4 linked regions of the Caenorhabditis elegans genome follow. The protein of the gene in region 3 purifies or fractionates together with the protein of the main gene of each other region. This does not show direct contact. Each region holds a gene or a part of one and is shown on either strand. Other genes may lie near its edges. The genes, in order: mpc-1, nuo-6, F58F12.1 and F29B9.11.

The links.
Region 1: the proteins of F58F12.1 (region 3) and mpc-1 fractionate together in Caenorhabditis elegans (co-fractionation; one large-scale study listed by BioGRID). This does not show direct contact.
Region 2: the proteins of F58F12.1 (region 3) and nuo-6 fractionate together in Caenorhabditis elegans (co-fractionation; one large-scale study listed by BioGRID). This does not show direct contact.
Region 4: the proteins of F58F12.1 (region 3) and F29B9.11 fractionate together in Caenorhabditis elegans (co-fractionation; one large-scale study listed by BioGRID). This does not show direct contact.

The regions. Positions count from the first base shown.
Region 1 is NC_003281.10:4,409,622-4,417,992, forward strand, and holds mpc-1 (putative mitochondrial pyruvate carrier 1), read left to right. Parts: upstream 1-3,835; coding exon 3,836-3,976; intron 3,977-4,563; exon of another isoform or gene 4,564-4,665; intron 4,666-4,694; coding exon 4,695-4,841; intron 4,842-4,889; coding exon 4,890-5,015; 3' UTR 5,016-5,127; downstream 5,128-8,371. Other genes in the region: gpch-1 (G patch domain-containing protein 1 homolog), read left to right, coding at 115-646, 862-1,389, 1,641-2,493; R07E5.11 (Intraflagellar transport protein 46 homolog), read right to left, coding at 5,219-5,437, 5,483-5,605; pdcd-2 (MYND-type domain-containing protein), read right to left, coding at 5,977-6,351, 6,402-6,696, 7,089-7,408, 7,667-7,818, 8,022-8,040; R07E5.19 (Vacuolar ATPase assembly integral membrane protein VMA21 homolog), read right to left, coding at 8,049-8,191, 8,266-8,371.
Region 2 is NC_003279.8:7,062,870-7,070,814, forward strand, and holds nuo-6 (NADH dehydrogenase [ubiquinone] 1 beta subcomplex subunit 4), read right to left. Parts: upstream 6,318-7,945; 5' UTR 6,307-6,317; coding exon 6,207-6,306; intron 6,133-6,206; coding exon 6,063-6,132; intron 5,716-6,062; coding exon 5,367-5,715; 3' UTR 5,247-5,366; downstream 1-5,246. Other genes in the region: cutl-6 (ZP domain-containing protein), read left to right, coding at 2,394-2,490, 3,447-3,634, 3,684-3,829, 4,217-4,604, 4,655-4,744, 4,815-5,030; tofu-5 (Twenty One u-rna (21U-RNA) biogenesis Fouled Up), read left to right, coding at 6,573-6,674, 6,723-6,877, 6,927-7,152, 7,200-7,377, 7,443-7,717; W01A8.6 (Peptidase M14 domain-containing protein), read right to left, coding at 7,887-7,945.
Region 3 is NC_003280.10:6,379,997-6,388,151, reverse strand, and holds F58F12.1 (ATP synthase subunit delta, mitochondrial), read right to left. Parts: upstream 4,508-8,155; 5' UTR 4,500-4,507; coding exon 4,380-4,499; intron 4,334-4,379; coding exon 4,201-4,333; intron 4,154-4,200; coding exon 3,957-4,153; intron 3,737-3,956; coding exon 3,695-3,736; 3' UTR 3,460-3,694; downstream 1-3,459. Other genes in the region: F58F12.2 (uncharacterized protein), read left to right, coding at 187-206, 253-280, 336-431, 478-515, 564-627; glam-3 (GLia Associated Membrane protein), read right to left, coding at 723-763, 819-971, 1,101-1,359. UniProt on the Caenorhabditis elegans protein: Mitochondrial membrane ATP synthase (F(1)F(0) ATP synthase or Complex V) produces ATP from ADP in the presence of a proton gradient across the membrane which is generated by electron transport complexes of the respiratory chain.
Region 4 is NC_003282.8:4,656,855-4,664,294, forward strand, and holds F29B9.11 (Cytochrome c oxidase polypeptide VIIc), read right to left. Parts: upstream 3,348-7,440; 5' UTR 3,347-3,347; coding exon 3,233-3,346; intron 2,995-3,232; coding exon 2,842-2,994; 3' UTR 2,777-2,841; downstream 1-2,776. Other genes in the region: col-111 (Nematode cuticle collagen N-terminal domain-containing protein), read right to left, coding at 460-733; mrps-21 (Mitochondrial Ribosomal Protein, Small), read right to left, coding at 2,269-2,458, 2,512-2,663; jmjd-1.2 (JmjC domain-containing protein), read left to right, coding at 4,155-4,337, 4,385-4,456, 4,503-4,787, 4,952-5,354, 5,409-5,535, 5,894-6,214, 6,267-6,498, 6,817-7,189 and 1 more.

The sequences.
Region 1 (8,371 bases), on a different chromosome or scaffold from region 3:
GTGCTAAAATTCGGTCTTTTTGGGCCATTTTGAGTCCAAGAAACCAAGATTTTTATCGATTAATCCTCCTTTAACCAAATAATCAATTCCTTCAAAAAAAATTAATTTTTCCAGGCGGCGAGTCGTCGGAAGCCCAATTCGACCGCGAGCAAGCTTCAAAGGTGGCTCCAGCGTACGAATTTTCGAATGAAGATGCTCTTGTCAAACAACTGACCCCATTAACTGGAACTCATGGAATAGGATATCAAGGTCTTCGTAAGACTACTGTACTTAATGAGTCATACGGTAGAACAACTTTGGCTTTGAAATCCGGAAAGAAAAATAGCAAAGGAATAAAAGGACAAGCATTCGGAGTTGGAGCATTTGAAGAAGAAGATGAAAGTGTTTATTCGAATTATGATCTCTCGCAATTTGATTTTTCATTGGATGTAGCTGGAGCATCAGAAGAGAGTAATTTGAAAACACAGAAATTGGTTACTGCATTTGAATTACAGCCAAAGAGGCTTAATCCAAGAAAATTCTATGCTCCTCCAAGAGTTCCGCCGAATTTTCGAGGCGATCATCGTCCGATTCCAATGGATATCTCGAAACTTCCACAAATGATGAAGAATGATGTAAAACATATGAATGCGGAGCAAAGAGCAAAGTATGATTTAAATTAACAATAATTCATATTTTTTCGCTTTTTTTTGTTTTCCGAAATTTGCTAAAGTTTGAGTTTACGGGTTTTTAAAACGTAAATCGATTCAGCTTTTTCCGAGAATTTTGACCTGAAAATTATTTGGAACATTTTTTTGGCCATTCTCATCATTAAATTTCGGTCAATTTTAGAATATTTTTGTTGAACTTTATTTATTTCAGATTCCTTGGTGAAGATCGCGTGAATGCACTTGAAATTGGAGGCAAAAGTTCCAAAAAACCGACAGAACGAAGAAGTCGATGGGATATCAAGGCAAATGAAGTCGAAAAACGTGATAATGAGCGTGGTGGTGGTGAAGCAGAAGAAGATCGGGATCGACGACAACGGAATCGAATTGAATTCCCTGATGAGCCTATGCGACAAGCTCGATTTAAAGAGTTTCTTCATTATATTCGACGTGGTCTACCGTACCCTCAGCCCACTGATCTGACTGTCTGGGAGTGGGAGTGGGAAAAGAAAGAATTCGAGTCAAAATTGACATCTGACGAACGGGGAATGCTTCCAGAAGTACAATCCAGGGCTCAGCCACTTGCAAAAACTGCCATAGCAGCGCCGATTCATGAAATGATGGCTTCGAAATTTGTGAAAGAAGCTGGCGGTGATTTGAAAGTTGGAACGAAGGATGAGGATAAATTAGCCGCTGTGAAAATGGAAATGTTTGGAGAAAAAACGAGGCAAAGCTTTGATTGGTATGTTTCTAAATTGAGAATCATCTAAAACGACCGAATTTCATAATGAGATTTCTCAAAAAACAATTTCGAAAAAAGGCAAAAAAATGTATGTGCTGCAACAAGATCAAGATGACGAATATTCGGATTTTACAATATTTGGCTCTTTTTTTAGAAATTTTCTGAGAATTCTTATTATGAAATTTTTTTGTTTAGGGCTAGTTTTAGCCATTTAGTCCCTTTGAAAAATGTAGAAATTTTTAAATTTTCAGGTATCCTGACAATCTTCTCGCTAAACGATTCAATGTTCCCCATCCATATCCTGGATCAGACACTGTCGGAGTTCCAGCTCTTCAGAAGACTGATTGGAAGCGGAAAGATCGATTAGCAGATATTGGTGGAGTCTCGGCAACGTTGGGACTTCCGAACACTGCAAATGAAATTGAAATGAGGGAGCGACTTCTGAAATCGAGAGCTCAGAGAGGAGCAGAAGAGAAAAAAAGAAATCAATCAGATGATGACGATGAGAAAGAATATGATGATAAGGATTCTGATGAAGAAGAGGAAAATGAAGCCGAGCCTAACAATCAGAAGGTAGACAAAGCTCCAAAATCGTTTTTTGATTTCATTTTTGGAGATGGAGACGGTGCAGACTCAGATGAGAGTAATAGTGAAGATGAAGAAGCTGAAGAGAAGGAACGGCAAGAGATTCTGAAAAAAAGAGAAGAGGATTTGAAAAGAAGAAGGGAAATAGTTGAGAAGAAAGAGGAGGAGAACAGAAAACGAGTGGAAAAAGAATTAAAAGAATTAGAAAATAGGGATTTGCTGAGAGTTTCAAAGCAACAGGAAGATGATGATATTCAGATTATTGATGAAACTTCTGCATCTTCATTTGGTCCAGCTCTTCCTCCATCTTCAAAACCAGTTCTTTCAAAAACGGAAGTACTGAAACTTTTAGAAAAGAATATGAAGAAAAAGAAAAAGGATAAGAAGGAGAAGGAAAAGAAGAAGAAATCGAAAAAATCAAAAAAGAGCAAGAAAGAAAAGAAGACAAAGAGGAAACATTCTTCGTCTAGTGCCGACGATTCCGGTGATAATTCCGATGGATGGGAGGAGAAGAAATAATCTGAATTAAACATTTTGTTAATTTTTTTTATTTATTTATTTATTATCATATATTACTATGGTTTCGACTTGTAAAAATGAAACATAAAATTTCTCAAAGTGATGTCTGAACTATCCTTCTCCTCCCGTGTGGCTATTTGTCCCCAGTTAAATTGTCTGCATCTCTCGTTCTCTATTTCTCTCGCTTTCTATTCTCTCAAGGATTGTGAGGTTTGGTTCCTGCGAACTCGTGCACTGAGGTCACATTTTTCGAGCAGAAATGAGTTTTCAATTTCAATTTTTCAAAGATTTTAGTTTTTCAGATGCTTTCTCTGTTAAAAATTAGTACAATTTGTTTTCCATTTTTTCAGTCTGCAAATATTAACCGGCACCTTTAGAAACATTTTTTGAATTGCATTTGAAAAACCTTTTTTAATTTGAAAAATTAGAAAAATTAATTAGAAAAAAAACCCAACAAATTTTAATGCTGAAAAACTACAATTTCTAGTTTTTTTGTAGTTTTCAGCAGTAAACGCATTGGTTTTTTACATGAAATACTATAAATGTGGGATAAATTGGTAAATTAATGTTTTATACATAAAACAATTAGCGAAAATGGTTAAAAATCAAGTTTATTGGCTAAAAACAAAGCTATCCGCGATAAATTAATGCACACAGTTTTCCTCGAGGAGTACACGAGCTTCGTAAATCGACACGTTGTCTTGCCACGAAGATTTTGTTGAGTGGGATTAGGTGTGCGCCTTTAAAGAGTACTGTATTCTCAAACTTTTGTTTTTTGAGTTTTAAAAAATGTTTCATTGTTTTCTCAAATCCAACAAATAATGAGATCTCATTATTTCTTCGAATTTTTCTGTTTTTATTGTTTTACCTCAATTTTTAATTTGAAAACATATTTTTATCGAAAAGCTATGAAAAGCCGATTCATTCAACAGAAATTAGTCGTGTCGAGACCCGGTATAGTATTTTTGGAGCAAAAGTCTCATAATTTAACGGCCATGCTTCAATTTTTTTTTGAATTTAAAACCTAAAGACAATTTCTGAAAAATCAAAATTAAACCTTCTAATGGAACCAAAAAGATCAATATCATCTTTTAGCCACTGACAAAAACAATTATTTATTTTCGTTCTCTCATCCATTTTTCTCTAATTCTCTACAGAGGGTTTTCCTTATTTTATCATCATTGAACAAAAATACTGATTTGATTGCTTATCACTTTTTGTTCCTTATCAAACCCAAATATATATCGGACGTTTTTTCTTGATTTCTCACGCGATTTCAGCGAAATGAACATTTTCGAACATATTTTTAAAAAGCTTAAAACCTAAAAATTCATATTTCCAGATGTCTCGAGTTATATCAAAAGTGACGACATATTTCAAGCAACATTCCACCGCCGAATGGAAGCATTACTTCTTGTCAACTCATTTTTGGGGACCAGTGGCTAACTGGGGACTTCCGTTGGCTGCTCTTGGAGATTTGAAGGTAACTGCATTTTTTAGAGACAAGTTAGGGTGAAAAAACGTTACTTTTGTATTGGGTGTTTAAAAATTGAAAAGCGCTTTTAATCCATAGCCAGATTTGGTTTTTTTAATAAGTGCTGAAAATGTGTGTGCCTTTAAAAAGAACAGTAGTCGTAATTATGTTTTCTTGCTTTTCTAAATTTTGCAGGTTAATCAATTTTTTTCACATGAAATAAAATATATTTTCCCAAAAATTTAACAAAAAAAACTAGCAATAAAGGAATAAAAAACTGTACACCTTAAAGGCGCACACTCTGTTTTGCAAATTTTATTTTTAGTTGTGAATTTTCTGCTGAGACCTGAAAATAGCAACTTTAGTACTACTATAATTTGTCAACCTTTTCAAAAAAAGCATGCAATTTTTGAGAAACTCTTATAAAAGCTATTATTAAAAAAACACCTTTTTTCCAAAATTATTCCACAAAAAATATGTTATGAAATGCCTACACCCTCTCACACACACTCTTTATACTACTCTGTCAAACTCACGAGATGTCTGCCGCCTCTTGTGTCCCCCCTATATAAACACCTCCTATTGCGAGATGTCTTGTTCTTCCGAGAACATATACTAAAATTGGAACAATACAGAGAAGATTAGCATGGCCCCTGCGCAAGGATGACACGCAAATTCGTGAAGCGTTCCAAATTTTTTGTGAAATTTTCTATAATTTTTTTTGCAGAAAAATCCTGACATGATCAGTGGACCAATGACGTCAGCTCTTCTGATCTACTCGAGTGTTTTCATGAGATTCGCGTGGCACGTTCAACCACGAAATCTTTTGCTCTTCGCTTGCCATTTTGCCAACTTCAGTGCTCAAGGAGCTCAGGTATACTCCATAACAGCAGCTCCAGTTGATAATTTTTAATTTTTTCAGCTCGGTCGATTTGTGAACCACAACTATCTGCACTACGTTGAAGATCCCGTCCACCATAAATTGATGATGAAAAAGGAGGTTTTGGAGCACGAACACGATGCGGAAGTGATCAGCAAGGCACATTGAGCAATTTGATTAAATATATAATTTTTAGCGGGTTTCGCTCTTTTTATGGTATCCTTTTTTCGAATTTCTAGGGAATTTTAGAAAGAATAAGTTAAATAAAAATAAATTTATGATATGAACTGAAAATGTAAAGCAAAAATAGGTGTTCGAAGAAAACCGTAACTAGCGACTCGACTAGATGTCAACATTCACAGGGAGAATCATTATTTTAATGGAGCTTCAACTTCGGATTCATCCACTTTTTGAGAATCGTCAAATGGATTTTTGAGATTTTTGAGATCGATGGCAGTTCCTTCTGCACGATTTTTCAGCGAAATCAGCACATCTGCAGGGATTTCTGGAATATCCGGAGTGATTGGAGGAGGTGCGGCAAGATCGACGTCTTCATCATATTCACCACTTCGATCGAATGGATCAGAGTCCTAAAACATTTTTTTATGCGAGTACAGTGGACGATTCCAACTAACATGTCCTCCGCGTGTCTCATTCAATGTCACTTCAGCCATAGAATCTTCGTACAAGTCTGTACTTGACAGCTCATCATCGACTTCTTCTTCTTCTGGTTCACCTGCTTGAGCATCTTTTTCCATTGAAATAAGCTGTAAAATACGAATTTCTTCAAGTCTTGTTTGAAGATTTTCATAAGTAAACTCGATAAAATCGAGGAAAATTGAAAAATTGATGAAAAATAGTTAAAAATCTAACCGTGCGGCGAAATTTCGTGATTTTCAAATCAAATTCTATTTTCTTTCATTTTATCGAGTTTAGTTATCGAAATACTGCAAAAAATAATTCATTTAAGCTGATTCCATTTTTGAAAAATTACAATTTTCAGATACATAACCGGCGTTTCTCACCAATCTTTTTAATAATAAACATTTAAAAAAATGCAAAATTTATTAGAACAACACAAACAAGAAAAACAACAAATTGCGAACAAGAGAAATAACGAGGAAAAAAATTAAAGGAAATCTTGCTTGGCGACAAATTCCTTCGCATAACCATCATCAGCGATCTGGCAACTCGCGGAGCAAGTGTACACGTACACGGAAGCCCAGTCGATAGATTGACCAATAGCATCTACATCGATGAGCGACAAGAGATGTGGCATAAGCTGCATTTCGAAACGACGAGGAGCTCCACAAAGTTCACATGGTTCCACAACTTCTGGCAATTCAGAAAGGCCAGTTGCACGGAGTGGCTGTCCGTATCTCTTGTATCTAATAATCTGATCGGGTTGCAAATTGACAAGACGGTTGAATTTATCAAAATCGATATCTTTTGGTTGCTCGGCGGTGGCTTCATCCAAATCTTCCTTTGTCATGTCAGCGTTTTTCTGAAAAAGGAATTGAGAAATTTAATTGTTTTTTCCGGCGTCAAACTAACCCCTTTGTTCTCCTTGACAAATTTCTCAAATTCTCTGATTCTTGCTTTCTTCTCCTCTTCAGTCTCATCCTCATCATTTCCTTCTTCCTCTTCCTCATCGCCTTCATCATCACTAAGTCCGTCAAACAGATTTGCTGGCATATATTCCTGATCAATTTCTACACCGAATTCTTTGAAACAAAACGCATTTCTTGGATTTTTCGGTTCATCCGTTATGGAGCCATCTGTTGCCGCTTTAGCACATTCGAGCTTGTGAGCAGGCCAGTCGATGACTTGATGAGCTTGAGAGCAATATCTGAAATTGTGACATATAAGGTGTGAACAAAATTTACCAGAATTTCGTCTTTCCGGCCAGAAATACTGTAACTGGTCTCGATACGACAAATTTTTGTTAAATGCACAAAAATGTGAGCGCCTTTAAGGGGTACTGTAATTATAAATTTGCTGAATTTTCATAGATTTTCCAAAGTTTTCCGAAGATATTTGTATTAATTTTTTTAAACTTTAACAAAATAATTATATTCGAGAGAAGAAATATTAAAAGTCAATAAAAATTCCGCAGCAAGAAAATTTTGGAATTATAAGCCTAATTAGAGTACTAATTAGAGTAGGCACACGCCTTTTTGCATTTAACGGAGAATTTTTTATTCTGGACGCAACATTTTTCGTATGGGTAACTTCTCTCACCTCGCCACTTGGCACTTGGCACATTTTTTCGCAGCGGAACATCCACAGATTCGACACAATCCGGGTCCATCAGCCGGTGCACGTGGATCAGCAACATCTCCATCCAAATCAGGATCCATTGGTCCATCAAATGAATAATAATCATTGGCACGTGGAAGTTGGCATCGGAAGGCTTTCAGATTTGCGGCATCATTTGTACGAGAGCAGGATGGATTACGGCAAACGAAGAGAAATAGAGAACGATGAAAAGCGTGTGGAGGATCATTTATACCTCCATTTGCTGATACTTGCATCAGGAAACACAGTGGTTTCTCGCAGACCTTAAATTTGGGAAATTATTTGGTGGACGGTTGTAGGAAGTTTTTTGTTGCTAATTTTGAAAAAATTATAATTTCAGCTAAAATTTTTAATTTTGCAAATATTTCCGTATTGCTGTTTTATTTTCCATATTTTTGTAGTAAAATAAAACAATGATCAAATAAAATTAATTTCTGAACGCTGCAATACGGAAAAGTTGGCAAAATTGAAGATTTAGCTAAAATTAGGTCAGTTTCAAAGTTCTGTTATAAAAAACCTACGTTGCACAACAAATCTGCGGATTTTGGAAGATTTTTTGGATTCAACCATGACGGTTTTCCTCCTATTTTTCCGAGTGGAAGAAATTGCGAACGTAGACGATACAGATCATCTGGCTCGAATTGAACTCCGAATCCCAAGTTTACTGGTTCATCTGAAAACGAGCTATTTTCATGCTGCAAACAAGATAAAGAGAACGGGCAGGAGACTTAGTGTGTATTTTCTTAAATTTATTGGTTAAGTCCGACTTGAAGAAATTTGTCAAAGAATTTAAATTTAAATATTTCGATTGATCAATATACAAGAAATAAGGCATTATTGATTGGGGAAAGTGAAACAGAAAAAATTGCCGAGAACCATGAATGTCGGTTTGCATTGTGTCTTCTAGTCTTGCTTGTTTTCACGCTTCTTGCGATCTTCTTGTTTGGTAGCAGCGAAGAGCCAGATACCCAAAACCACGTGGACGAGGACGACAGCAATGATCGCAGAATAGGTCAAAGCGTCGTTTGCACTGACACCCAGGAGCCCTGAAATAGGAGAGAAAATGGAATTTTATTCATTTTTCAAAAATTAAAAATAATCGGTAGAACAAGCTCTGTACCTTCGAAAAAGAATTGTTTCAAGAGGAACATAGAAGCAAGAGGAACGATGAGAATCACAAGACTATACGTGAGAAGGTTCTTGACAGCGGATTGGACTTCCTGATC
Region 2 (7,945 bases), on a different chromosome or scaffold from region 3:
AGGGCAGTTCAACGAAAACTTTCCACTTCTTTTGATCTATTATATTGCAGGTATCAAAATCAGGATTTAAGGGAAATGTGTTCTGTGCTTCCGATATACTGAGCGTTCATGGATTAAGAAGACAATATTGAGAAGGAATCAGCTAGATTTTCCGATATCAAAATTTCAGACCAAACAAAAATTGAAAAAAAAATCGTAATTCCATTAATATACTTCTTGTAGATCTTATATATAGGTAGGAATAAAGACCAACTTATGTGCCTTTAAGCAGGCGTAACTCGCTTTCTTGGCGTTTGGGGGCAACTTACTGCACAACATCAATTACTTTCTACCTTCAGCCTGACAACTTATTAAAAGCTGATCAAATAAATTGGTAGTCCTGGCAAGAAACGGCCAACCAAAAATGTTTAACACGAATTTTTCAAATTTGGCAAAAGCTTTCACTCAACTTCTAAGCTTACATCACCGTATAGAAAGATATCACACGGACTGGTTAGGTCTTTTTCAAGCCGTTTAGGCGAGTAGGCAGGTATTTTGTGCCTACAGTGCGTGCAACTTCTATAGAACCCCCTAAATTTTCGAGTTTCAGCATGTTCTGATATTTTTCAAGAAAATTTGTTAATGTCAATCGATTCTAAATGCCAAAAAACCTACTGTCCAAAATTTTTAGAAAAATATATGCAAAACTACGAGAATTAGGCCAAAAAGTCGTAAAAACGACCGTGCAACTTCTATAGAACCCCTCAGAATTTTGATTTTAATCGCAAAAAGCACTGAATTTGTTTAAATTTTTCAAAATAATTTTGTAAAACAATAACATCAAAATGATCTAAATACTTAGTTCGTTCATTAAAAACATGAAAAATGCTACGTGGAAATATATATATATATATATATATATATATTGGGATGCACTCTCAATGGTCCTGTAACACTTTTTTGTGTGTTAGTGACCAGTGCTCCGCTCCCAGTAGATGTTTTTGCACAAAAACATACCAAAATGTTTTACCATATTCATAGATCATTGTCATAGAAATTTGTTTAATTCTGAAAAGTTTCCTCTGTTTTATGGCAGAAACAATTCATTGAGATAATCTGACTTATTATTCATTGGGGGTAAGTGCTCTATGGGATCCCTTTAATCGACGATTAACCTTCAAACCTCAAAAAAAAAAAACAAGAAAATCACAAAGCTTTTCCTATCTTCACAAAGCTTTTCCTATCTTAAAGGCATAACTGTGTGTGTATATCTGATCTTTGTCCAACTGTATAGATGTGTTTTGTTTCTGAGAACAAAAGTTGTCCATGGACCAAATTTCTATAGAAGTTGCACGCACTGTACTTCTAGATTTTAGGTAGAGTGTGTGATTGAAAGTTATATTCAGCAAAATTATAATCAGTGATCCTTTCCAAAGCTTGGCATTGTTGCTTGAAATCCTGTTCAAGTAGTGTTTGGCAAAAAATTCCCAAAATTTCCGATATGTACTCTATGTTTAATTTTGGGTTTTAAATAAATACGTTGAATTACGCAAGCTGTTACTTCTAAAAAACATTGTATACATTTTAGGGTTGTAGTGAACTTTTATAATATTTGCTCAAAAACTCTGAAACATTAAAATGACGTGCTGGTCTGCTTTTATTCTCGAATTATATGATCAAATCTCTGATTTTCTGGTTAAAAAATTCCCTATTGTATTTTGATAGACTTTTTCTCCTTATTTCATTTTTTCACAGGGTATATGAGATGATGTTCAAAGTGGTTCATAATATCCAGTTAAGAATCAAAATACTTCACTTTCAAATTAAGTGTCCTGGGCTTCTGAATGCAGGTGTTGTCTACATATTATTTCTCAAATCAAAATACTCTGTCATTTCTTACGAGCTTAACCAATTCACCTTTTGTATGGCAGCAGCAGGCGTCATACATTTCCATCTCAATTGACCTATTCTCGAGTCTCGGCTGTCCATGTAATTATCCATTTTCACCGTGAACCCTTCTGTCCATCGTATTTTTTTCCCATCGCTCCTCTCTTTCTCTTCATCTCCACAGTTTGACCTTTACACAGAAACTCTTTTTCCCGAATAATATGTAGTTCTTCTCGTAGTTTTCGGAAGAAGTACCGCCCGCCGCAAGGATTTCTCTTCGTTCCGTCCATCTTAAAAACACGAGCTTAATTGAGAAGCGATCATGTCTTCTTGTCCCGCCCGGGAACGTCATCATGCGTCCCGCCCGTATTCTGGTCGTACTAGTTACCACCTATGCTCCTCCCACATTTGTTTGGTTCCCCAGATGAAGTAGAAGAAGAGCATTTAATTTAGTTTTGAACGTGTGTCGTTACAACTACTTATTCTTGTACTTCCTCAAGATTTTTTTATTATTACAGACAGACACAATGCTTCTGAGGTTAGGATTTCTTTTGGTATGCTCAATGCTAGAGAAAGTGATAGGACAAACGAAAGTGGTCAACTATATTGATAACTCTATAATAGGTAAGTTCAATTTTCATTTTACTGAAATTTTTAAAGTTTTTTAAAATTGAACAGTTTATTCTAACTTGTGATTAATCTACTATTATCCAGAGGCAGAAAACTGCAGTTCACCAGATGAATTTTGTTTTGAATTCTAGAATATATAATATGTGATATTGATCTCTGATCACGGTTTTTGACTCGAAGCTTGCAAAATTATCACTTAAAAGACACTATGACCAGAGTAAATTTTATTAGCCGTTCACAAAAAAAATGGTCTCGGCACGACCGAAACGTCGAAGCTACAGTACCCGCAGTTTCCCAATTCATGTTGCAAACTTTAAACTTTTGGAAAAAATACGTAAAATATTTGGAAATAATGAGTAAACATTGTGGAAAATTGCTGCGGATAGATTCAAAGTTCCGATCGGTTCAAGACCGGGTACCGTATATTTCAAAAAATTCAATTTACAGCAAAACTAATCTGACATATGCAGACAAATTCTCAAAAAGCCGTATGAAATTCGTTAAAAATTTTTTTTGGTCTTACACATTTTAGAAAACAAAAGTTGTAACTTGCCTAGACCGATCTTACACCGGTTTTGTTGTTAAGAAAACATTAATCATTTTCTGCATCTTCAAAACGTGTATGCTACAGTAATATATCCTTTTTAAGCAAAAAATCCACAGGCAGATCAAATAGTTGCGACTACTGACCCCATTCCCTACACTTCGGCCTAAGTAGCGATAATTATATAGAGAGAAAGAGTTCAATGTTCTGAATACAAAAAAAATTATAAAGCGTGCGATAATCCATGTCTACAAGTTTGCAAGTCTCAAAGCAATTACAAGATAAATCCACTAAATCTAACCGCAAAAAAACGACCTTCAAGAACAACAAAAATGAGAATAATGAGGTGCGGAAGTGGTCGTGTAAAGCGTATTAAACAGAGCTCCCCTCTCATTTATTTCTACAGGTACACCCAAGGTAATATGCGCGGAAAATGATCTGGCACTCGACATTGTCACCTCCAAACCATTTCGTGGAAATATTTTTGTAAAGGGACGAGCGAAAGACAAGTCATGTCGACAAAGTTATGCGAACAATGGAACAAACTCATACTCATTGCCGCTTGGAAAATGTGGAATGCAACGGTTACGATCGGTAAATGGACCGAAAACGACAATTTTGTGAGATGTTTTTTTTTATTCAGGCAAATCCTCGAGGCGTCAATTTTATGGTCACAGTCATTGTATCATTCCATCCAGCTGGATTCATCACAAAAAATGATAGGGCATTCCATGTTAAATGTTTCTATATGGAACCAGATGAGATTGTTACTCAGAATATTGATGTTAGGTAGGTAATCGTTTATTTTAATATGCCTCATTTCAACTATTGCGTTCAATAATTATTTTTCAGTTTTTCATTTTGAGTGCAACACTGATAGGAACTGCAAGTTTAATTTTAAATCAGTAATATGTATTAAGAAAAAGATACTGAAGTTTTAACATTTTATTTCAATAATTTTACATTGAGATTCTATACTTTTCAGTGTTTAGTATTTGAGGGTGAAAAATCTTTGAACTCACCAGATAAGATTATCGGAAACTCTTAAATTTTTTTTTCAAGTCTATGTTCTTGCAAATTGCCAAATTGAACTTTTTGCGTATTTCGGAGCATTGATGATATTTGAATTTTCAAACACAAATAATTAAAAAAATAATCAAAAAAATTAATTTTCAGTATGATCCCAACGACTGAACTATCTGACAGTATGGTAATGCCAAAATGCGAGTATTCAGTTCGTCGTGATGGTCCAAATGGTCCAACTTTAACATATGCCAATGTCGGAGATATTGTATTTCATGTATGGGAATGTACACCGGCTGATATGGGAATGCTTGTCAAAAAGTGTTTTGTAACAGATGGAGACGGAGAAGATCATGCTGTTGTTGACTTTGATGGCTGTGCAACTGATCCATTCTTGCTCAGTGAGCTGTCTTACGATGCTTCACTTATGCGAGCTCATGCATCAAGTCAAGTTTTCAAATATGCAGACTCAAATCAATTATATTTCACTTGTCAGATAAGATTGTGTCAGAAACAAATGGGAATGTGCCAGGAAGTTACGGTAATAGAGTTCGAAGATTGTTGAAGCAAATACTTATTTTTGATTTTCAGCCACCAAACTGTGGAGTCAAGAAATTGCTGAGTGAAGCAAGTGGTGATGGAAATCGAACAAAAAGAGAAGCTGATCGGTCTGATTATGAGGTAATCATAGATTGTTTCCGGATTATATATTTTTTTAATCCTCCTAACATGAAAACAATAAAATATTTAGATCGACGTAGCAACATCAGAACTTCTTGTACTTGATCCAGCAGATCGTGGGCTCCTTGCTCCTTCTCCATTCTGTGTTCCACGACTACTTCTTCCAGTTCTTCCCCTTATTCTTATCACAATTGTATCATTAACAGTTGTCTCCACAGCACTAGTGATTCGAAGACAAAATCACAAAAAAGAGCTCGATATAATGCAGTCAGGCAGATATTATTGATTTTCACATTATTATATTATTTTATAAATTACACGTCCCGATTGTACGGTTTCAGCTCCCATTTTTCTCTTAAAAATTCCCTTGAACTCTCTCGAAAGTCAGGCACAAATTTCTCATTCTTTTTCTCTGTGATGTCTGTTCCACACATATTTTTACGGAATCTAATTCATCAGGCATCAATGTTATTTTATATAAATTTACGAGTGTTTACATTAATAAAATCTGAATTTTATTTGACGAGGATAACGACACAGCTAAAAAAAAACAAAAATCGAGAAAAAGTTGCTTACATTCGGATCTAAAAGTAAATTTAAGAAAACAGATAGATCGAGACGATTAGAAGTCGATTCCGATGGTTGGAGCAAAGAGACCGGATCCTCCGGTTTGTAGAGTTCTTCCTTGTTGACGATCCCACCAAAGAAGCTTTCCATCCAAACATGCTTCATTCGACTTGTCCATTGGGACAAACATAAGACGAGTGTAAATGTAGAAGAGAGCGAAAACGGTTCCGACGTACAGGAATACGGTGCGTGGTGTGAAACGGAAGAACTCGGCTTGAGTCATATCAGCAGAATACCAACGGAACATTGCTGGATCCATGGTGACTCCCTCCTTGTACTTGAAGCTATGAGGATCGTATTCACGACGGAGATATTCCTTCTTCAAAATCTCCTTGACACGATATCTGAAAGTAATTTTTTAAAAATAAAATGTAGTTTTTTTATCATAAAGTTGGATATTAAAAACTGAATTTATGTTAATTCAGTGTTTAATATCCAATTTTATCGCAACAGTTTTTTTAAAGCAATTTTTGATTTGATACTCTGTAAATTATATCAAGAAACTGTTTTTTTTTGTCTCTATTGCTAATAAATCACTTGAAATAAGTGTTCATCAACGCAAATGTTATCATATATTGATTTTTCAATAGAATTAAATAATTTTAAATTGAGAATATAATTAAAACTATGTTTCTCACTGTTTTTAGAATTTTTTTAAAAACTTTTAAGCAAAAAGCGTTTTTCGTATTACCTCCACAAAACTGCTTTCTTCTCCTCGTCGCTCAGATTGTATTCATGTCCTGGCAGAAATTCGGTCTTTCCTATACAGAACAATTATTATTTTACAAGTTAACAGTAAATTATGAAAAATAAATCGATAAAATAAAAGTTTTACCGTGAGTCTCAAAATATCCAAGCACTGGATCCTGCCACAGTTTCGGAGATTTAATATTTTGGTTGGCAGCTGGTCGAAGAAGTCTTAATGCCAACTTCATTTTGGTTCAACCTGGAATTAAAATATTAATAAACAAAATCGGAAAACAAGACGGAAATTAAGAAAAATAAAATAAAAAGTTCTGAACAACTGGTTCAAACGACACTCCGATATTTCGCAACAGCGCCTTGTTTATCGTAAATCTACATCACATTTCAAAGCGAAAGGAATTTTCCTCAATTCAATTTTCTTCAATTCTTTCCTAAATCGAGGCCATAATTATTTTTTTTCGCACATTAAACTTAACTTAAAACTCAAATTTTAGCCATGGAAACCGACGGCGATCCCACAAATGAAATTCCCGGTAGCTCTATGGCTTTTGAAGTCGCAAACCATACTGTAACCGAAGAACCATCACCACTGGACAGAGTCAGTTTTCTAATAAAATAAACTATTTAAAAATGTAAAATTTTGTAGATTCTCGCAGAAGGTCGCAGCTTCAATGGTGGCAATTGGTCCAGTGACGACTTGAGAAGTTTATTGGATGGAGTGATGAAGTATGGTACCAAAATTGAAGCCATAAACTATATTCACCGAAACATTGTAAAAAAACGATCTATCGAAGAGATAAAGTAAGTTTTTAAAATATATGTTCAACATTTAATCATTATTCTTTTTCAGGGCGAAAATTGACGAGATTCGAGAGATTATCAAGGAACACAAAGAGATTATTCTCCCTGAGTGTTACAAAAATAAATGGATCGAAGCAGGACATCATAATATCACTCCTCCACCATTTTGCCAAGTGGATCCAAATGACGACTGGAGCAGTATCATGGGAAAAATAGTCGATCATCATCATGGATCAATCAACAAGACCCTACCTTCTCTTAGAGATACTTATGAGGTTTTATATTTTATTAGTCAGCAATTGAAAAATGCTCAAATTTTCAGACACTCTTCGAGAATCTCGCTCTAGAATCTAAAACTCACGAAAATGCGGTGGTGACCAAACTTCTCACCGCAAAAGCTACAAGAACTGACTCTCAAAATATAAGATGGCCAGTCATTTACAGATTCATGAAAGCATGTGCCACATTGGAAGAGCAAATGCCAGCGCTCAATGAACTTGGTCAGTAAACCCAGAATAATTCTAACTCTGAGGGAACTTAACCAGCGCTACAGTTTTATTTTCAGAAGCGGCAGTTGTCTCCAAAGTACTAGACACTATCGAAACCGAAGCTACGACAACTCCAGATACTGAGAAATCTATTCTTGCCGGTATTTTCAGTGAATGTCAACAAGGCAATTACCGCTTCTGTGAGCAAGACTATCCTCCGAACGTTATGGCGGCAGTTCAACTGTTCGTGGATCCACTCCGTACCCGTTTTCATGCGATCCCTGAAGTTGCATCTGAAGTCGAATTAATCAACTTTACGAAGGACAACCAGCCATCTACATCGTCCAATTGAAATTTTTATTAATTTTTTGTTATATCCTGTCATATCATCCGGTCGTTTCACTGGTATTTAATACATTGTTATTAAGTTTATTGATTTCAAGTCTAACAAAGACAAAAATGGTAGAAACCCGCTTCTTGACAAGTTCGTCGTCGTCCAAAGACACGTGTTGATTTGTTTGTTATAGCTGTCTGAATCGAGGAGATCTACTGTCTGCTGATGTTCCGTTTGTAGTTGGTT
Region 3 (8,155 bases):
ACAGCAATTTATTCTATTTTTAAATTTTTATTCAAATTATTTTTTAAATTTGTGAACTATCTTTGGAATAGTCACGTAAAACAAAGTTCATCTGATCTTATCATATTTGATTTTTTATTCAAATCTAAAAAAATCAATTCTCGTTTTACTTATTCCTACTTTTCTTCTCGGACGACTTCGAACAAGATGATAATTGAAAACCAAACGTAAGTTTCAGAAATTTCACGAGCAACTCGTTCTTCACAATTTAAGGAAACGACTCACGCAACTAATCAAAGTGGTTAGTTTGCTGACTCTTTGTCTGTATTTCAGGGTTCTAAATACATTTCTTTCAGGATGTGAACCGAATGATTCCATTGGAAAAAATTCACATGTGGACTAAGTACATCGCCGACGAAGTGTTCCGTTCGATTCCAGATGGCGATCATGATGTTGGTTTTTCTTTTTCAGAGATACATAATCAATTATCGTTTCCAGCTTGATGTTGTGATCACTATCGATTTTTCGGGAAAATCGTAATTTTACAGGATATTCTTTTTTTTTTCTAATTGAAATAATTTCAGGGGAATACGAAGAAATATGAAAAAGATGATAATGGATTCATTGGAAGAAGAGCTTCTCAGATGATTTATTGATACAATCGAAAACTGTGCCATGGATTTTGGAAAACGAATTGTTTCGAATTAAATACTTTCTTCATTGTATTGTTCCAGTCTTTATCATCATTTATCATCGAAACTGTAGCTTTGTTGTGTCTTTCGTTCTGAAACCAAATCGAATTGGATTACTTGAAATTTGGTTACTGTAGGATTAGTTACTGTAACTGCAGCAACAGCGAACGCAGCAACCAATGAGGAAGATTGAGAGAAAAACAATTATGACAGCAAGAAAAGAGAGTAGCCATGTCTGAATATGCTCACAGCAATACATATTGGCTCCGCCACAGCACGTGTAGTATACCCATTTGGAGTCTGAAAATATCATCAATTTTATTAAAGTTTCAGGTGCAGATTTTTAACACTTTCAGTACGAGCTATAGAGTTTTCAATTTTTAAAGTCTGAAATTCAAAAATCAAAAATTGTGTTAATCCAAATCCCACCTTTTGGACATGAGCTAACGGCATTCTCAATACTAGGACAATGTAAATCCTTTCCACGCATTGAAGAAGGAAGTTTAGTTGAAGGATTCATTGTTGAAGAAGGTATTTGAGTTGAAGATTCGATTTGTGATGACGTCATCTCACTATCTGTCTCATTTATGAAGTTTGCTAAATCCGAGGATTCTGCTATAGCTTTTGTGAGAGCAGGAACTGCTTTCAACGATATTGTTGTGCAGAGCAGAAGAAGTGAAAAAACCATCTGAAGTTTTGGTTGTTTGATCTTCTGAATATATTGATACGAAAACAAATATTTCGATTTTCAGGATAACTTAAACGTTTTGAGAGTTGAATTTAAGATTTATACAGTATTTCAAGTTCGGGCAAGAGATTCTATCAAATTGCCTATAAATAAAAGAGTACATTTTATATTAGTTGTTTGCAAGAGTTTTGGAAAACACAGTACTCGAGAAGTGATAAAAATATTTCAAAATGAAGGGATGTTTCGCAATTTTCTCACAATCAGATTGTTCCTTTTTTATAGAAGTTGAAGAATTTATTTTTTAAGTTGCAGCATACGAAGAAGAAATAATACAACAAAGCATAGGCCAGTGAGAGCATAGAAAAAGAAGAAAACTAATACAGTAGTCCTTAAAAGTGCATATTTCTTCGGGATGCATAAATATGAAAAAAAAAAAGATTTCAGGAGGGGAATAAAAATGTAATCTAGCAATAATATTACTCTGGAGCTAAATTTGCGATTTTTGAGCCAGGAATACGATCTCCGGTCTCGGCACGACAAATTCTAACAAGTGTGCGCCATTAAGGAGTACTGTAGCTTCAAACTTTCGTTGCTTTGGAATTTGCACCGGTTATTTGCAAAAACTAAAATTAAAATCAAAGAGCATAAATTTTCAGATTTTATGGAAATTAATAGAATTAAATTAACACCACCGAAAGTTTTAAACTACAGTACTCTTTAAAGGCGCACACCACATTCTTGCATTAACGAAAATGTGTCGTGTCGAGACCAGGTACCGTACTTTTGGTTTTAAATTCTGAAAGTTTCGCGTCTGGGTAATAAAACAGTTCAGGCCAAAAGTTAACCGAATTTCAAAGTTTTTTCATCATCCTACTGTACTTATTTAGACGATTTCTAAACTTTCTTGAGGAGTACACTTGACATATTTTGTAAATTTCTTGCAACAAGGATTTCAAACAAAAATTAAAATAAAATAGAAAAATCTAGAAGGGCGCCAAATCATATAAGCCATAGGTAACAACATAAACACAACGTTGGCAAGCAGTGAAAGCGAAAAGTGGTTTCCAGCAATTTAGTCATCCCCTTCCCGGGCGGTTCTCGAATGACAGCAACGAAATATTATGATGGAATGAGAGACTTATACGTATATTACCTTGTCAAAAAGTGTTGGAAATATGAGAGAAAGGATAAAGTAAAAGAAGAAGAAGACAGAAAAAGAGTTTTGATGATTGAGTGGAAAAGGAAAGGTCTTCCGGAAATCTGTGCGTTGACGGTGTGTTGACCACCGAACAAACGATGCCAATCAGTCCGAAGACATATCTTTTCTTCTTTTTCGTCTCTTCAATTCCTGAATTCTTTTTCTCAATTAACGGAAACCGACATAATTGTACATGTACACAGATATGGAATCGAATCCATTCTCACTATTCCGAACACTTTCTAACGAAGAATTTTATTGAGTGTGGCGACGGATCTATAAGATTATGTGACATTGGTATTTGGAATAGGCTAAACATTTTTAGAATACTTTTTATTTGAAGTTCTTAGAAACCAAATCAATTTTGCGAAGGTTTGAATAAATAAAGCTCCAATTTTAATAAAAGAAGTTTGATATTCAAACTAATATTAGCTATTTACTAAAAATGGTGGAAAATTGGTGAATAATTATTTTGATTCAGAAAAGTGTTCATATGATTTTTGAAGTTTGTTGTCTATCCTCCCATCGTGTCTGTAAATGGCATTTAAAGTGGGTTTGTCGATAAAAAAGACAATTCCAATTTGTATCTCAACTTTCATCACTTTGAAAAAGCCGAATCCTCCTTGGGTTTCCTCTTCAAATGTTGCAGATTCTTCTGAATGGCATCATCACTTACGATTTTTTTCGTTCAATTTCGCTTTTTGAACAACCATTTTCGATTAGCGCATGAATTGAATCGAACCCGAGGTTTCCGTTTTTTGGTAAACATAAGGAAATACTAATTCTATTTCATTTTAGGGTACGTATTGCTGTAGATTGTAATTGTTTTAAACTCATGGAATTGGTATTCCAGTTTACATACATTTTCAGAATTTTCTCTTGTTTGATATAATTACTTGGATGAAGGATCGAATGTTCATTTCTACTATAAATATCACTAAATCAGAAAATTGGAAAAATAAAAGTCAAAAACTAAAAGTCTCGAAATTTATTGGAAACGATGGAACAATGAAAACAAAAAAAGGGAGGGCCGTACATAATATCCTATAAGCAGCATCGAGAGAAATTGACGATGTGCCTAGGATCAAATTAAAAAGGAATTTACCAAAGTTAAAGGGTCTACTCTCAACATACTCCTTATTGCTGGTTCGTGGCGGCCTTGATCAATGCTTCAGCAACCTGAAAAATTCCCTTGTTTTGAAACAAAACTTAAAGACATATTCATTTCAGAGAACTACTTTTATGACCCTCAACTTTATGTCCTGGTCTCAGTTTTAGTATCGAAGCACAGAATCATTTTGATAATAAAAATATTACGAAATGCTTAACTTTGCTGAAACCAAACGATATTCGTTTCTTGTATTTTTTTTTGGTTTTTAAAACTTTTTCGAACACTTACTTCAGCGCGAATTTGAGCTTCAGCACGAGCAACCTCGCTTCCTTCTCCGGAGGCTCTTTGGGCAGCATCAAGCTCGGCGCGGGCAGCAGACTCATCAATTTCTTCAACTTTCAGGACCTCCTCAGCAAGAACTTGGCATGATCCATCGATGTTCACGGAGAGGGTTCCCGAAGAGACGAAAAGGCGTTGAACTGTTCCTGAAAAATTCTTTGGTGATAATACAATTTATTTTTGCAAAATAAACCTTCATTTGTGGTGACAGAGACAACTCCTGGTTTCAAAACTCCAATGGTTGGGACGTGATTGGCAAGAACACCAACCATACCGGCCAAAGTTGGCACATCAACCTGCTTGACGACAGCATTGCTGAAGACAGCCTGTAAATTGATTTTCAAATAATGTTTTCAAATAATATTTACTCACGGTGTCTGGGGAGGCGAAAGTGAGACGAAGCTCCTCTGGGTTGGCGTTGGCAGCTGGAGCGGCAGCGGCGTATCCGCGCTTGGCAACAACCGAGAATCTTTGGATAGTACGAGCCAACATCTTACCCTCTGAAATGATAACATTGTTTGATTGATTTTTAGAAGGTCAATATGTGTATTAAGAATTATAAATGAAAAAATCGGAGGAATAGATTGTATTTGGGGAACAAACAATAGTAAAAATCGTAGACATATAGTCGAATACTTTTTTCAATTTTTAATAACGAAAATTAACTGAAAAAACTTCCCAAAACAGTTGAAAACAGAGATTTTTTGTTAAAAAAAGGTGAATAAAAATCGAGATCGCCCGTCGTCCAACGGAGCGTGTTTGCATCCCCTAATGGCTAGTCCGCGGCCATCGGGAAAAACTAGGCCATCTTGGCGAAGGTTAAAAAATGCCTGAAGATTTAATGAAACGTATGTTAAATATGAAACAGCGAATGTAATTGGAGATTTTCAACTAAGAAGCGTAGAATTTTTGATATTTATTGAAATGTAGCTAATTGGAATAATTTTTGAAATTATAGAACTATTACAATAGAGAAAACATATTTTTTAAATAAACTTTATTTGAAGACGTATCTAAACAGCAATAGAGTACACTATTGAAGCTACTGATTGAAAAAATCTTAACCATTAAAGTAGATTGCTCCTTTCTCGAATTGTACGCAGGGAAGAATATATGGAAATTTTTGAAAATTGTATACATGATTTGTAGGTTTCACTTAACTTACTATATTATTCACTACATTGCGTAGCATTTCGATACACTTTGCAAAATACGACTCATTTGAACATTTGAATAAGCCACGTGACTTTTTACGTGTTTCCTTCACCTGAAGCAGAACATGTGTGTTGGTGCGTTTTCTGCTGAATTGACTGAAACTTATCAAATATTTGAAGTTTGTTGCAACTGCGTGTCATTTCATAGTAATAGTAAAGAAATGTGATAATCCGGTTATCAATTGAGTAGAAACATGCGGGAAATGTATGATTTATGGTTCTTCTCAGTTTTCAGTTTTTATAAGTGATTGCAAAATACAGTACATACTGTAGATGTTATTGAAAGTTTGGCTTCTGGACAGAGAGGTCGCATGCTCATCAAGTGGATACCGGGAAACAGTAATAATATATCATCCCTCATTCTGCCCAACGAAAATTTATTTTAAACTACATAATAACCTTTTTGTGCAGTGAGTAAGTAGATCGACAACATTTTGATATCTCTAAAATAAAAAGAAGCTTCAAAATCATGAAACCGTGGAGAAAAAGTTTGCAACTGAAGATAAAAGATCATCATGACTAACTTTTGTGAACTTTCTGTTTAGGCTTGTGTCCGGAACTAAATAAATTCACCTGAAATCACGAATTCGCCATTAGATATTTAACATTCTATTAGAATCCTATTAAAGAAACACACACAGTTGTTTGGTCATTGTAACTAGACACATAGTCAATGATAAAGTTTGTGGTTAGGGTTAACACTCCTAATGCAGGTTATCATGTGAAAATATTACTGTAGCTACTTTTAAAGTTTGTGCATGCAGAGAAGTTAGGGATTGGATTTTTAAGACCTGCCTTTTAAAAACTATGCATCCAAAACAACAGATAATTCCGGTTTGGAGTGAGCAGCCATTCTTCTACAAGTTTCGGAGAGAGAGACGCAACCTTTAGGTAGGTAAAAAATTTTCTCAATACTATTGTAAGCATTCCACTTGTAATAAATTTCACCTAAATTGCTGATTAGGGTGAAAAATTATCAGCCTTTCTGTGGTACTGTAACTGTAAATGTTACGTTTTCAGTAAACTCAAGAGTTGTATTTTATTTCAGGATCTGCCGGAAGTTTTGAGTTTTCTAACTGTAAAAAGCCTACAAATTTCTGTGAATCAAGCTTGTCCCAGCTGATTTCTTTTAGCCATATCATGGTTAGTTTTGTAATTATTGTATTTTAATAACTCAATTCTTGTATATTGTATACAAACTTAAAACATATTAAAAATAAATTCACTCGAGATTCAAAATTATCACAAAAATCAAAATAAATGTACAATTGAACATGAAACAAAATAAATGAGATCCCATTAAAATATTGCAAATCATCGCGAAACAATTGAAATAGATGACCAACCAGCGGAATGAGAAAAATATCAAAAAATGTACAGACAAATATATATATACAATTCCTTTTGTAAGGGACAAGGAAATATAACGTGCTTATAAAAAAACAAATAAATAAATAATGAACTCTAGAATTGGAGCTATACCTTTCGAAAATTTCCAAAATATTATATTTACACTTTCCTAAGAATGTACAAGGAAAATATATCTTATGATGTTGTAGCCATGTAGTCATGTAGACACGTGACTAATGATAAGTGGATATCATTTAGTGATCCTTTTCTTGAATTGACCATACCGATTGTGTTCCGGTGTTGATATTTTGATGAGTTGAAGTCTTTGCATTCTTTGCACAGAGAATAATGTTGAATGTTTATGAAGATCCATTGATGTTGCTTCTCCATAAAAATATACTGGATGATGAATCATTGTTGAGTTTAAAAAGTAGGTCACTTTCAGACGAATGAAATTTCAGAGAGAAGAGCACCAAGAAGTCGGTGGCTGACTGACCGGAGAGGACATGTCGTTGACTTTTCGTTCCGACACTCCGCCTCTTTTCGGAACAAGGTCACGCCCCTATCAGTTTGCAAGAGGTAAGGAATGGAGACGAAGAGAAAATGGAAAAATGGGTTTATGCATAATTTTGAGATGATAGAGAAATCGAGAAACCTGAAGTTTAAACCACACAGAAAGAAAATGAATGAATTTATGAATCAGAGAGAAACACTGTGGCAGATAAAGAATATAAATAAATGGAGAGAAAGAATGTGTAAGAAAAAAGAATGCAGGTTTCAAGGGACAAAACAAGAAATGAAAAACGACAACACAACAACACAAATAATTGTGAAGTTAATCAAGGTTACGGTAGGTAGAAAGGTATGAGCTAAAATCGACATTTTCCAACTGAACTGTAACTCCAGAACAACCTCGAAATCGTTCCACGACTTGCAATACTGAAATTATCAAAAATAGCATTGTGTAGAAAACTAAGTTTTAAACATAAAAGTTCTTGGCTATGTTCAACCCGAAAAAAATAACTTGACTTAAAAGCTAGCTGGGAAGAGCTGGACAATTTATCCTAAGTTTGACCAAAACTTTTCTTGGCACACCAAATTTGTTGGAAACTTCTTTTAAAATATTTTTCTCCAAAAACGTACCATATTTGCTTTTTGAGCCAACTTTCTATCCCTTTTCTGAACAATGTTATGACAGGTTTGGTAATTGGCTGAGTAGCGACTCTCTTAATTCAAACAGTGATAGGGAGTTTTGCCAATTTTGCTATGATTTTGATTTTGAAAATTTTGCAGTCTACAGAATTTAATTTGGGTAATCATCTTTATCCAAATTTGTTAAAACTAATCTAATTTCTGAAATATTCCGATCTGAAAAGGTCGAGTCGCTACTCAGCCACCGTATCCCACCACAATTCTTCAAAACTTTTTTGAAAATTTATCTTTAAAATCTAAACTGATTTTCCTTTTAGGCTGATTTTATTCATAAATCTAACAGCGTTATGACAGTTGTGGTAATTAGCGACAGCGACTCACAGTAGCGACTCACAATCAGCTTAACCCTTGTGATACGATTTTGCTTCGATT
Region 4 (7,440 bases), on a different chromosome or scaffold from region 3:
CTGTAATTTTTAACTTTCGCTGATGTGGAATTTACTTCGATTTTTCATAGTTTTTTGATAAAAATAAATGTATTTATATGAAAACTTTTTTAAAAATGCAGTTTTTAAACCAATTTGGAAAAAATGAAAAAAATCTGAATAAACGAAAGTTTGAAACTACAGTACTCTTTAAAGGCGCGCACCTTTTTGCATTTAACGAAATGTTGTCGTGTTGAGACCAGGTACCGTATTATTACGACAAAATCGGTTAATTTCGCGTCAGGTTAATAGAAGTTTCAGTTTTTTTAGCAGTAAATTATTTAATTTTCACCTAATAATACGATATATATAAATTTATACTCAAGTTGAATGTGCGATTTAAATTTTCAGTCTAAAAAAGTACAAAAAGTACTGTTATCCACGTTCTCCACGGTCATTTGTATATTATACTACAGTCTAAAAATCCTCTGTAAAACTTACTACAATGAGCCGGAAGATCGGAACGCTTCTGACGAACGGTGGCCGAGTTGCTGACGAGGAGCTCTGACTTGAATTTCTTGTCATTCAAGAACACCACCTCATTCCAAGCATCATCAGTTCGTCCCTGTCCCTCTTTGAAGCTCAACAAGGAATCATCCAAAAATTGATTGATATCCTCACACACCGAAGCGGCAAAAAATGCACAAAACGAGATGCACGCAACGCTCACCAGGACACTTGTCCAGGTGGCAATCGCCGCGTTGTCTACAGTCATAGTTCTAGACGACGAAAATGGAAAGAAATGGCAAAGTGACGGTGGACGATGTCTTTATAGAACGAAGATGGGGGAAAGTACAAGAAGCTAAATCTAAAACCGGTTTGTGTGGTTGCATGTATGGATAACGAGGTGTGGAAGCAGTTTGGCATGTTCGATGGCGGTTTTGGATGACAGCGAGATGGAGGAAGAACAGTTGCGCAATGAAACGAAAAAGGATATATTGGATTCGTATATCAAAGGGGAACACGAGAAGGGATTAATCCAATTTATTATGGAAGCGCAGAAAAATGCGCATTATTGAGGTCGAGGTGCAAGCGCGCTCCAGGTGAAAACGCTCCGCCCCTAAACGTTGGGTCTCGTTAGGTGTTGGCGGCAAAATAAAAAAAACAAACGTTTCAAGTTATTATTTTTTAATGTCCAAATTGATTATATACAAGCCAAAACCTAACGAGACCCAAAGTCTGGAGGCGGAGCATTTTCATTATGGCGTTGGAGCACGTTTGCACCTCAAATTCAAAAGTCGCATTTTTCTGTATCCCTTTTTCGAATTTTGTTAGGTTGTTGGAAATTCGGCTAGTTTTCTACACAATTACTTGAAATTAATGGGGATATGCAAAAAGGGGATCTGCGAAAAGAGGAGATACGAAAAGGGGAGCTGGCACTGTGCCAAACGCACAAACCGCTTTTTTATTCTCATTCAGCGCACGACTTTTTTTTTGTATTTTTCGCTAAACAACGCGCGATGCGTAATAACGGAGTGTGGTTATAACAAAGTCGTGCGTTGGATGAGAATAAAAAAGCGTTTTGTGCGTTTGGCACAGTGCCAGCTCCCCTTTTCGTATATCCCTTTTCGCAGATCCCATTTTTGCAGATCCCCTTTTCGTTCTGCTCCCCTTTTCGTGGGGCCTCAAATTAATCACGTGTAACAGCCACATTAACTGAGATCGTGGCGAGACCCGCAGCGTGTGCCTTTAATGTGGTATCAGGTCTCGAAACGAATAAAAATGCGCCTTTAAGAAGTACAGTAGTTTCAACTTTAGTTATTTTCTATGCGTTTTCTTATTTATAAATTATTGTCGAAACTTGTCACTGTATTTTTGACTAAAAACCGCAAAAATTCATTGATCAGGTTTTTCCATGTTTGGCTTCCCTTGCAATCCATACCTTAATCCTTAAACCTCATTTCTCTCGAACGGAGCTAGGAACAAGGGAAAACCTTTTCTCGGGGGAGCGCAGCGACCCGAGAATGGGATGTTTTCCCGTGACAGCGGAGTGAGAGAGACAGTAGCAAACTAAAGGCGCAGGCATTTTCCTCCGGCACGGGTCTCGCCGCGACAAGCGCCCCGCGGGCGCTGCGGCGCCTGTTTCTCCTCATTCTACGTGTGCAATCCTTAAAATCCATACCGACGATCCTCAACTTTTTACATTAAAACCAATATCCTTGTTTCTAAATTCTCAATTAATTTACACTTTTATTGCTGTAAAACAAAACAAAACAAAAAACTCAAAACAACTATTTTCTGAGATCGAAATTAGGACGTCACTTGTCCGGGATGCTTGTCGGGACGATTTTTTCGAACGAGAAATTTCATTTTCCGGTTCATGTCCTCGTTGAAAATCGCCGTTGATGCTTCCATCGACAGTGTTTTTCGTTGCATGTAGGGCTTCTGATAGAATTGAGTGCGGCGAATGATTTTCAGCATTCCTTCTGAATCCATCAATCTGAAATTATTTCAATCTTGAAATTATGTTCTGGGAATTTTTCCAAAGAAAACCTGTTAAGAAGTCCGAAAGCTCCATCGACATCATTGTTCTGCACCATTACTGTTCGAGTTGCGAATCTTGGATGTGAATTCCAAATTCCTTTGAAAAGTTTAATCGCGAACGGCTGAGAAATCGTTCCTCTCCAGGTGAATTGACGTACCATCTTTAAAACAATTATCAAAAAAATTCTAAATGAAAAACCGAATCGAACATTTATCTTTCATGGATGGATAAACCACATTTGACAGCGAATAAAATTGAGAAAAAGCGAAGAGAAAACAAGAATCGATTTATTGTTGTTCTCAAAAGTCTACACAATGGCTCGTGGCATAATATTACTTCTACTGTCTGCGGGCGGCAACACGGGCGTCAATCTCTTCTTGGACTTCTGGGGAGAGAGCATTATCCGGTCTTGGGCGAAGACTATCAAGTCTGAAGAGGACGGAAGTTGGGTATGCCATGAAAGCGACGCAGATGAGTCCGTAAAGGGCAACCTGAAAAAATTGGTGTTATAGTGAATAATATGGATATCTGGATAAATATGTTTTTGAGCAGCTAAATTAAAAGTGAGACAAATTTCAAAACTGTATCTTTTAGTTCAGAAATTAATTTTTCAAATCCATTCAAACGAATGTACAAACTGAAATTTAGTTTTTTTTGGTGAGCTAGTGGTATTTTAAGTTTTACTGCTCACAAGGATAAGTTCAAGACATTTAGCAAATAAAAAATTACCTTCTCGCTGACAGAGGTGAAACGGAGTGGTGGGGTCGAGTCAACTCCCTTGTGAAGCGAGCGACGGATGACATGTTGGCTTCTAGCCAAGGAGAGCACAGCACGGTTCAGCATCCTGCAATAAATCGTTTAAATTTACAGAGTAATTGAGCAAGCATGATAATCCATAGAAAACGAAACAGAGAATACGATTCAGGCGGTTATAAAAACAGAAACTATACGAAAATCGTTAATTCTACACAATGAATCAAAAAATTATTTGATTTTGCTAATGGATGAAGCTTGAAAGCTGAAAAATAGTAAAAATCTGCTTAAAAAATAATCGGCAGGCTGTGAGAGGTTAAAGGCGCAGAGACGGCTGACGGAAAACAAAAACAATCGTTGCGAGACCAGCCGCTTGGCTACGTGCCAAGTGTGAGAATACGGAAGGTGAGAAAGACGGAGACACTGCGAAGCGAGTGAACGGTGAATGCGAGACACCAAAACCCGGAAGTGGACAGGCAGAAATTGATTTTCTCGTTAAAAATTTTTTGTATTCAGAATTGCAATCAATTCAACTAATCAATATTGATATTTTCATCTTAAAGTTTATCTACTAATTAGTATTTAATCCCACAAACTCGTAAATTTCATCGCGACTCACGTTCCCCCGTTTCGCAGTGTCTCTTGTTTCGCATGCTGCGTCTCGTTTCTCTTCTTCTTCACATCTCCTCGAGGCTTACAGTTTTTTCAGCATATATTTCAGTTTTCCATCATTTTTCTGGAGTTTTTTATTGAAAAATGTTGTAACAGAAATAAATTTAAACATTTCGAAGCTATTTTCATGTTATTTTGTCCGTTGTTTCCCTTTCAATCGACTATTCGTTGAAGTTTTCGAGTTTTCCGTTAAAAATCGTTGTTTTCCAGAATCTACACATTCCAAATGGATGGTAATGATATAAATATACAAAAAAACGAGTTTTCTCGAGACCAATCAGCACTTCTAATGATGGATCAGCATTCCGACCATAAGAATCACGAATCGGCAATCGGCGAGCCAGGAATGTCATACACAGCCTCTCAACCGGCTCTTTCCTCTACTGAGCATCAAACGCCATTAGTTTCTGTACGATTTTTTATTTTTCTGCGATTATTCAATGATATTGATTACAGGAAGCAAGCGTCGCAGCTCCTCAAAATCATTTGAATGGCAATTCCCATGAATCGGTTTCCGAAATGGATAGAGTAAGTGTTTTATTCATTTAAAATTTTAAAAAAAGTCTCATCTCAGAATTCGGTTGATTTTGCGATAGAATCAGTGCTCATGAAAGTGAGTGTAACCTCCGATTTCACTGAACTTCCTCCATTTCTCAACGTAATTTTCCAGGCGAGAGCTTACAACAAGATGGGCGCTCCAAAAGATCCGAGGAGAAAGCAGCACAATCCGAAGAGCGAGCCTAAAATCGAGCCACATGTGACAGATTCATCGGATAATCAGGCTGCAATGAGCAACAAGATGGAAGCGGAAGCGCCGAAGATGGAGTCAAATCAGAACTACGTCAGCAACGGATCTGAGGTATGGTTTATTCTGAAATGTGGAAGATTATTTTCATTCAAAAAAAATTTATTTATAAATTTATAAATTTTTGAAAAAATTCAAATTTCCCGTGGCAATATCATACTGAACTTTTAAATGAAGAAAAAAAATTAATTGATAAATATCATCAAATTTTATTCCAGCCTCCATTCCGTTTCGTTTCAATTTCGAATTTCGACGAAATGAAAACAAAAAAGAAAGAAGTTCAAGAAGAATTGAAGCTTGAGGTGGACTCGGACAGTGAAGAAGATGATGTCCCAGAGCAGAAAACTCCAAAGGAATCGGATCGATGTGGAGGATGCGGAAAATTTACTCATGAAGATGATCTAATTGCTCTTGAAGAGGAAAAGAAGAAGGAAAAGGAAAAGCCACTGATGAGCAAGAAGAAATCTCACCATCACAAGAAAAATGACTTCCAATGGATTGGCTGTGACTCTTGCCAAACCTGGTACCATTTTCTGTGCTCAGGCCTCGAGCAATTTGAGTATTACCTGTATGAGAAATTTTTCTGCCCCAAATGCGTTCCACATACCGGACATAGCATTCGTAAGTTTTTTCATCGAATAGCTTGCAATTAAATATATTTATTTATTATTTTAGGATACAAAGTCGTCGCCCCACATCGTTATCGCTGGTACAGTCCGAACGAGAAGCATCTCGGAATTGAAGTTGGCTCAAAAACTTGGATTGAGGATTTCATCACCAGAGAAAATACTGTTCCCTCACCGTAAGGGAATTTTCATTAAAAGATGACTTGGTTGTTATTTGTGAAGACTCGAAATACGCCAAAATGAACGAAGACTTCACAAAAATTTCAAGAAAAAGAGTTAATCTCAGCTGAAAACTCCCATTTTTGCCGTTTTCTCACATTTTTCGTTTATTTGGTACATTCTGAGCTGTCAGTTTACTAAAATTGGCCTTTTTTGATTACCTATTGGCTTCAAATGTACATAAATCAACGAAAAAACTTGAATTTATCACCTATAATAATGTTTTTCGTTCATTCCGGCACATTTTGAGTCTAAACAAGCAAAAAACCCAGACCTCCCTTAAAGATTATTTAAAATTAAATTTGTATTCTTTAGAACCGACGATGAGGTTTGCATTGTCGAAGATGGCTACGAATTCCGCAGAGAATTCGAAAAACTCGGAGGAGCTGACAACTGGGGAAAAGTTTTTATGGTCAAAGACATGGACGGCCTCAATATGACAATGCCGAAGCCTGGATTCGATTTGGAGGATGTTGTGAAAATTATGGGATCGGATTATGAAGTGGACACGATCGATGTCTATAATCAGAGCACCTATTCGATGAAGCTTGATACGTTCAGAAAACTTTTTCGCGACACTAAAAACAGACCACTCTTGTACAATTTTCTGTCCCTTGAATTCTCGGACAATAATGAGTGAGTTTATTAACTGAAAACAATTGAAAAATTAATTAATTAACATTTCCAGGATGAAAGAAATCGCTAAGCCGCCAAGATTTGTCCAGGAAATCTCAATGGTCAACCGCCTGTGGCCTGATGTCAGTGGAGCGGAGTACATTAAACTCCTCCAGAGAGAAGAATATCTTCCAGAAGATCAGCGACCAAAAGTGGAACAGTTTTGTCTCGCAGGAATGGCTGGATCTTATACGGATTTCCACGTGGACTTTGGTGGTAGTAGCGTCTACTATCACATTTTGAAGGTATAATTATTGAAGGAATATAAATGGTTCCGCGGATTGTGAACGTTCTGACCCCGCCAAAATGTTCTCAAATTAACGAATTTCGTTTGAAACTTCTGAAAAAATTCTCAATATTTTTTTGGTTTTTTTGGAGGTTCAAAATTAAAAAAAAAAGACTAAATTTGGCTAAAATCTCCTATTTTCCGAGATTTTAAAAGCATTTTTGAGAAGCCTCATCACGAAATTCGTTGATTTGAGCACATTTAGGATCGTAATGTTCGAAATACCCTTCTTTCAACTGAAATTGGTTTTCTCAAAGCTTATTAACTCTATTTTCAGGGCGAGAAAATCTTCTACATCGCCGCGCCAACGGAGCAGAACTTTGCAGCTTATCAAGCACACGAGACATCTCCGGACACCACTACATGGTTCGGTGACATTGCCAACGGAGCTGTTAAGCGAGTTGTGATCAAGGAAGGTCAGACACTGCTCATCCCGGCTGGTTGGATTCACGCGGTTCTCACTCCAGTCGATTCGCTCGTTTTTGGAGGAAACTTCTTGCATTTGGGAAATCTTGAGATGCAAATGCGCGTGTACCATCTCGAAAACGCGATTCGTAAGGAAATTAGAAGCGAGGAGAAGTTCTACTTTCCGAATTTCGAACTTCTTCATTGGATGTACATGCGAAACGTCTTGCTTGAGAAGATTACAGGTAAGCAATTTACTAGTTTGTATAGCGGTTTTACTAATATTCGCTACATTTCAGAAGCCAATCAGGAAGGTTCTGACATGCGTGAGCAGGAGAAGAATATTTGGACGGCGTCACAAATCATGAAGGCCGAAATGGAGCGCTGGATGGATCGAGAGTTGAGATTGGGTCCCGAGAAGAACGCGATCCTGCCCACTGACGACAAGAATAAGATTATGATCTCGGTGAGGAAGCAGATTGAGATTCAGACGAAG